Astyanax mexicanus: one gene and its partner. Each later gene encodes a partner of the first gene's protein in a complex. Links are inferred from orthologs where the notes say so. Each region holds a gene or a part of one and is shown in the gene's direction. Other genes may lie near its edges. The genes, in order: tent4b and zcchc7.

The links.
Region 2: tent4b (region 1) and zcchc7 share a complex: the UniProt entries of both Homo sapiens proteins name them as parts of the nucleolar TRAMP-like complex. The link is inferred for Astyanax mexicanus from reciprocal best matches to the Homo sapiens genes TENT4B and ZCCHC7.

What each region holds. Positions count from the first base shown.
Region 1 is NC_064430.1:12,170,969-12,174,894, reverse strand, and holds the start of tent4b (terminal nucleotidyltransferase 4B), read left to right. Parts: upstream 1-1,160; 5' UTR 1,161-1,501; coding exon 1,502-2,061; intron 2,062-3,926. UniProt on the Homo sapiens protein: Terminal nucleotidyltransferase that catalyzes preferentially the transfer of ATP and GTP on RNA 3' poly(A) tail creating a heterogeneous 3' poly(A) tail leading to mRNAs stabilization by protecting mRNAs from active deadenylation.
Region 2 is NC_064432.1:7,203,149-7,207,074, reverse strand, and holds the start of zcchc7 (zinc finger CCHC domain-containing protein 7), read left to right. Parts: upstream 1-1,239; 5' UTR 1,240-1,479; intron 1,480-3,926.

The sequences.
Region 1 (3,926 bases):
TATTTGGAAGGACTAAATAACAACATTCTACTTACAACACCTTGCTACTACTTTAAATTTACTACCTTACTACCTTAAATCGATTAGTTTGTATGCGAAAATAAAAAGTAAAAAAAAATGCATGATAAACATATGATATGACATGTCAAACGTTTGGGCAGATACTGCCTTCAAATCCTCCTCAAACATTCTCAAAAGGAAAGTTCTCAGAGTGAAAGGCAGAACTCAAGCTGCCTGGTCTTCTTATAAGATCAGCTTGATCTCTTGATTTGCTCAATGATGAGGAGCTTCATCAAACCCAGTAACAGAGGAGCAGAGCAGAGGGTTTGGAGTGATTTATATATATATTTTTAATTGTTACAAGTAACAATGCAGCCCATAAAAATGTAGTTAAAGTAATAAACTGATTGAAAATATGTAGTGAAGTAAAAGTGAAAGTAGGAGATACAAATAATACTCCATTAGATACAGATACAGGATTTTAGTAATTCAGTACAGTAGTGAAGTACTTTTACTTCCTCACTATACACCTCTGTTCAGAAGTAATTTGATTTCATTAAAAAAGTAAGAGTTTAGAAAATGTATCTTTGTAAATAAACAATTTGGCAAGTATACACTTAAATGAGACACATCCCTATTATAAAGTTAACAATATGCACTGCCACAAAACTTTTCTGCTCTATTACAGATTTCTTTTGTTTTAATTTTCCAGATTATTAAACAAACTTCAATATCAGACAAAAATTACAAGAGTAAATACAAAAACGATGATTTCATTTCTTAAGGGAAAAGTTTTAAGTTTAGGTGAGCTTGGGTTCTGCAGCAGGACAATGATCTGAAACACACCAGCAGTTCCAGTTCCAAATCTGAATGGCCTACAAAATAAAGGTTTTAGAGTGGCCTAAGTCTGATTTTCACAACACTGCATTCTAAGAGTTAATTATAAATTATAAATTATATATTTGAATGTGAAAGAATGGTTATGTTACCGATCTTTTTCCACCTTTGAGTGTTACAGTGTTACGCTCGCTCGGTCTCTCCGCTGGTGGGCGCAGTGCCAGTGGACAGACCCTGAGTGAGTGAGGGAGAGAGAGAGAGAGGGAGAGGAAAGGAGAGAGAGAGGTTAGCAGTTAGCTTAGCATAACTTCACCTCGACAGGCGACGCTCGCACGTTTCTCTCACTCCGCTTTACCCTTAACTTTGACTGTGGGCGTTTTTTCCCGTCTGAACCCGTATCTATCCGCGGTCTTCTGATGCCAGCAATCCCCTCTTTCCAGCTCCGTTAATGGCATGTTACGATAACATACGGCTATTTTATAGCGAAGCAGAAACGGGGGCTAGTGGGGGCGAAGTGAGCGAACCTAACGCTAGCTAGCTAACTAGCTAGGGAGCTAGTGGCTAGCTAACGCTAGCGGCGCTGCCAGAGCCCGGAGTGAGTGTGCGGCGTTCCCGGGCGTTAACTGGCTCAGCTGTGGGGGGGCAACAGCCACCTTTCCGTTTGATGGATCCTCGAATCGCCTGGTTTCAGCCAGAACAGCGCGGACCCGCCAACAGCTTGTGGATGCAGATTTGGGAGACCACGCAGGGCCTCGGGAACTTGTACTTCAGCAGCGGCAGCAACCACCACCACCACCACCACCAGCAGCAGCAGCAGCAGCACCACGGCGCGGGTCCGGCCACAGCAAGCACGAGAGTGAACGGCGAAAGCGGGGCGGCGGACTGCAGGAGCAGCGAGGGGAAGGCGCAGGGAATGTCGGGCTCCAGGGCGGACTGCGACGTTGTGGATCAGCGGGACTTTATACCTCTGGAGGCGGCGAACAACAACCAGAACCGCGGGCGATTCGCACCGGCGGGTAGGGGCGGCGGCGGTTCTTCAGCTGGGCTCGCTGCGGCGGCTCAGCGCAACAAGAGGAAACGGGAGAATAAGGCGAGCACTTTCGGCTTCAACCGGAGCCTGATCCTCCATGGCTGTGGGCCGGAGCAGGAGGAGGAGGAGGCGGCAGCAGCGGCGTACACGGGCACGCCGTGGAAGAAGAGAAACTACTCGGAGGGCATCGTGGGGTGAGTCTGCAGAGAGAGCTTCGTTTTGAGGTTTCCAAAATGAGCTTAGCAAAGGATAGATAGTTAACTAACTTACATAGTTTTTTTTTGTTCCAGATGGAAATTAAGACATCCAGTTGGTTAAAAAACACAAATAGCTACCTTAAGTACAATCAGAGAACACGTATGACAATAGCTATAACTTACTAAGGGCATGCTAGGTTATAATAAAAACTTTGCTACAATAGTGCAGTATATCAATGCAATCAGCCAATATACAGTCTACAGAGAAAAAGTGCAAGATTCTAGTTAATGATATTGGTTATAATAATAAACTAAATATATGGAGCGCCTTTCATACATTAAAATGCAGTTTAAAGTGCTGTACATACAGAAAGGTAATCAGACTAAAATGGAAAATAAAATAAAACTCAGTAAAAGCAAAGTAAAATAAACAATTAAGATAAGTCAATAGAAAATAACAATGATAATAATTTTTTCAAACATTTTAGCTCAAATGTCTCAATTATTAAAACAAAGTTATAAAAATATGTCTGGAGCTGCTTTTTGAAACTGTTTACTGATGCGTGTCTGATCTCAACTGGTAACGTTAAGCTGTTCCATTTCTTTTGGAGCATAAGAATTATAAGAAAAGTGACTTGGTGTGCTTAACGTTATATAACTTAGCTAGTTACATGTACTTATCCATATGTTTGGTGAGTAAATGTCAGTGTAGTTGATGTGGGGCTGGAAAGAGTTAAAAAGCCTTTAAAAAACGTTAACGTTAATTATGGCTAGCTATCAAGGTTAATTATCTAGCAGCTTTAAGTCTTACTCTTGCGTTTATTTTCTGTTCAAGTTTAGCTGAAGTTAGCTAGCTAAGGTTTGCTAAGTTAACTGAGCTAGCTAACCCAGTCAGTCTGTTAGCGTTAGCTGGCTAATGCTAGCTTATATCTTTACCTAGCTAATAGGGGTGTCACGATCTCGATATTTTATCGAAATCGAATCGAAATGAGGTCACGATCTCGAGTATCGAAGTCAAAAAGAGGATCGACGATCCCTCCCGCGCGCGCTACGCAAATAGCGCAGCGCGCTACGCAAATGGCGCGGCACCAACACAGCGCATCCTATTCATTTAAATAGAGATAGCCACTGCATGAGCGCAGTCGGCGGGAGTGTGATCACTGTTTTTATCTGTCCAACGGGGGAGGGGGGGCGGGGGTTGGGCGCGCAGGTTTTGTATCTGTATCTAACGGAGGGGTGGGTGCGCGCAGGTGAGAGCGTGTGAACTCGCTGAAATGCGTGTGTCAGTGTGAGAACACTGACTATAGATCACAGTGAGGTGGATTAAAAATCTTAAACTTATAATTGACTACACCTGTTGCTTTCCATTGAATTAAAAAAACATCTTTCTCTCAGATAAAGTAAACACAAGCGTGTTTCTGACTAAAATAAAAGCTTTTCAGGAGAGATATAAGTTATGTGTAAATATTTATAAGACAATACCCACATCACTTATCTAACCAGCCTGTACTGATTTCTGCCCCCCAATAATGCTTTCAATAACCTCTTGTAACCCCTGGGAGCCAGGGGTTACACTCTAATAGCCTTTAATAGTCTTCAGTAGCCTTTAAAAGACTTACCTGGCGGCCGTGGTGTGTCCACTAAACTCCGTAGTTATAAACATCCTGAGGTTAGCAGCGCGCTAACTGACCTGTTTATAATGCAATCCGAGCAGTGCCTCCGTGTCGGCTGTTCTAACCTGCTGCTGTTAGCTGCTTGGGCTGAAAGATGAACTGTAGTGAGCTGTATTATCCGGTTAGTGGGGTTAAAACCTTTATTTGTTTACAGAAACAGTAAAAACGGACTGGCTGAGCCCTGTAGCC
Region 2 (3,926 bases), on another chromosome or scaffold:
AACTAAGTGTCACAATAACCAATAAAGTGTCCTGTAGCAACCAGCAGAGTGTCAGAATACTCAACACAGGTCCCATAGTACCTAACAATGTCATCAAATCCAAAACATTGTCATAATACCCAACACAGCATCCTGTAACAGCCAACAGTGTTATAATACCCAACATAGTGTCTTGTAAGACCCAACCCAAGTGTCATTATACCAAACAAACAGTCCTGTAGTACCCAGCAGTGTCATTATACCCAACACAAGGTGCAATAATATCAAACAGTGTCATAAAATCCTACACTGTCTAACACTGTGTCAAAAGAGAGTCCTGTAGCATCCAACATATAGCACCCTACAATAAAACTCAGCACAGTGCCCTGTAACAGCCAACATTGTCATAATACCCAACACAGAGTCTTGTAAAACACAACAAAGTGTCATTATATCAGAGAGGTCAGCAAACAGAAGGTTCGGTAATACCAAACAGTGTTTAAATTCCAACACTGTGTCATAATACCAAAGCAGTGTACTGTAACAGCCAACAGAGTGTCATAATACCCAACACAGCAAAGAATCCTGCAAAGAAGAATGGGCCAAAATTGCTCCAAAGACATGTGAAAGACTAATTGCCAGTTACCTCAAGTACTTGATCGCAAGGGTGACACAACCAAGTTATTAGGTTTAGGGGGCAAATACTTTTTCACATATTTTTTCTTACCTTTAATAAATGAATTTATCATTTTTTTTTATTTACTCAGGTTATCTTTATCTGATATGATTACACACAAACATAACATCCTTTGACGTTGTCTAACACATTGCATAAAAGCCAGCCCAGAGTCTTGTAAGACCCAAAAAAGTGTCATTATACCAAACGTAGAGGCCTGTAGCACCCAGCAGTGTCACGATACCCAATACAGAGTCCTGTAACAGCTAACAGAATGTTATAATACCCAACACAAGGTCCAATACAGTTTTTTTCTTGATTGCTAAAACACTAAACCCTGTTGTCTGAACCAAATCCTCAGTGCCCTGAACCCATTTATTATTATTATTCAATGGTCACTTTAATCTTTAACTTTTCACTTATTTAGACACGAATTGCAAAGATATTTTACCCACTAAAACACAGTTTGCAGTGGGATGCACTTTGGTTGCAAGTCAGTGAAAGAACAGGTGTCTCAACTTCAACACAGCAAATCAAAATTGATCACACTTGTGGAAGTGCACTGAAAGCAGCAGTACACGAAGAAGTGCACACCTGTGTATCACACATACTGTAAACCTAGGAAAGGGAAATAAATGTATTTCCATAACATTAAAGCCCTACACTACTGTCTGTCTGTCTGTCTGCATGAGACTGAACTGGTGGTGAACTCTCCTGTATGGGAGACAGCTCCCAGCGCTAGCTCACGGTCGGCCACCCTGTTTTCCTCCTACAGCCACGGAAGCCGCAGCGCTTCAAAACAGCGGAGTGTGATCCAGAAACAGGTGAGATTACGGCTCTCACACACCTTAAACACAGCGATTTCAGCGCGTTTACATGTCTACACAACTGTAACACCGCCGTAACGTGGTTTTAAATGAGTTAAACGACTCGATTACACACAAAACAGCAGCCGGCTTCTCCCTAGACAGAGAACACGTGGATGTCAGAGCTGAGAGCTGGAGAGCTGGGGAGCTGAAAACACTTAAATCAGCTAAAATACACAAAATTTACTGCGTTAACAGCGAATTTAAACACAAAAACCGGCAAACAAACATATGTGTTGTTTATAAAAGAGAGAAGTGATGTTTGGAGGAGTTTGGGGGGTCTGGATTAGACCAAAACAGACAGAGTCTTGTTATTTAACTTAGCTAACAGCTAGCTAGCTAACTAGCTAATCGAACTCTAAAATAGTTACACTAAAGGCCTAGGTATATGAAGCTAATGTTAGCTAGCTTACCAATATAGAGCTATAGAAGTGGGGGAACACTTATGTAAAAGTACTCTTAAATTTGTAACTTAGCTGTTAACCTAGATAAAGTTATAGTGAGGTTGCTGAACAGAGTGTGATGCTAAGGATGCTAAGCTATGATAGTTAGCAAGCTAGCTAGCTCTGTATACTGTTGATGGGGTTGTTTAGTTTAGCATAACTTAGCTTCCATTCCACAAAATACTGTAGCTATACTGTAGACAATACTGTAACAGGTAGCTACACAGTGTGGCATGCTGACAACTAGCTAAAGATATAGTGTTTAGGTAAGCTTTTAGGCTACACTTGCTATGCTAGCTGGTTAGCTGTCTATAAGGTTGAATGGGCTGTTTAGCTTAGCATAATTCAGCTGCTGTACCAAACTCTAGTGCTATAGTCATATAAAGCTAGCTAATACTGTAACAGGTACGCAGGGTGGCATGAAAACAAGCTAAAGATATAGCTTAGTATTTGGCTAAGCATTTGTGCTATGCTAGCTAGCTCTCTATAAGCTCAAAGGGGCTGTTTTACTTAATATATATGTATGGAATAGCTTAAATTCGAAACAGTGCTGTAGCCATACGAAGCTAGCTAGTACTTTAACAGGTACACAGGGTGGCATGCAGAAAGCTAGCTAAATATATAACCTAGTATTTGGGCAATAATTCAGGCTATGCTTGCTATGTTAGCTGGTTATCTTTCTGTAAGGTTGAATGGGGTGTTTAGCTTAGCATAATTCAGCTGCTATTCCTAACAGTGCTGTAGTCATATAAAGCTATCAAATACTGTAACAGGTACACATGGTGGCATGCAGAAAACTAGCTGAATATATAACCTAGTATTTGGGCAATAATTCAGGCTATACTTGCTATGTTAGCTAGTTGGCTCTCTATAAATTGAATGGGTTGTTTAGCTTAGCATAATTCAGCTGCTATTCCAAACTGTAGTGCTGTAGTCATATAAAGCTAGCTAATACTGTAACAGGTACACAGCTATAGCTATAGTATTTGGTCAAGCTTTGAGGCTAAGCTAGCTATCTCTCTATAATGGTAAATAAGTTGTTTAGCTTAGCTTATACATGGAATATAATGGAATATAATCCATATAATGCTAACTTGTACTGTAACAGGTAAACAGGGTGGTATGCTGAAAACGTGCTGAAGTTATAGCTTAGTGTTTGGCCAAACATTTAGGCTATAATTGCTATGTTAGCTAGCTAGCTCTATATAAGGTTAAATGGGTTGTTTAGCTTAGGGATAGCTTCTAATTTCCTAATTTTTCTTCGGGATAAATAAAGCACCCATCCCTCCAAATAGTACTGTAGTCATGTAGCTAGCTAATACTGTAACAGGTACACAGGATGGCATACTAAAACTAGCTACAGATATAATGTTTGGCTATGCATTTAGCGGAAGCTATGCTAGTTAGCTAGCTCGCTTAATATAAGTTTGACTGTTTAGTTTAGCATAACTCAGCTTCTATTCCATACAGTTCTGTAGCTAGTACTGTTACAGGTACACAGGGTGGCATTCTAAAAAGATATAATTTATTATTTAGCATAGTGTTTGGGCAAGCTTTTAGGCTATGTTTGCTGTGTTAGCCAGCTAGCTCTGTATAAGTTTGAAAGGGTTGTTTAGCTTAGCATAACTTAGCTTCCATGCTACACAATACCATAGCCATAATGTAGTTAGTACTGTAACAGGTAGCTACACGGGGTGAAAAGCTGACAACTAGCTGAAGCTTGTTTGGCCAAGCATTTATGCTAAGCTGGGCTAGTTAGCTAGCTTGCTCTGAATATACTGAAATAGGTTGTTTAGCTTAGCATCTATTCCACACAGTGCTGTAGCCATATAAAGCTAGCTAGTACTGTTAACAGGTGGCAGGGTGGCATGCTAAAAAGACTAGCTGTATATATATCCTAGAAGCATTATCACCTACAGTGGACAGCACTGTCTGGATGTGAACAGACAAGCAACTTTGTCA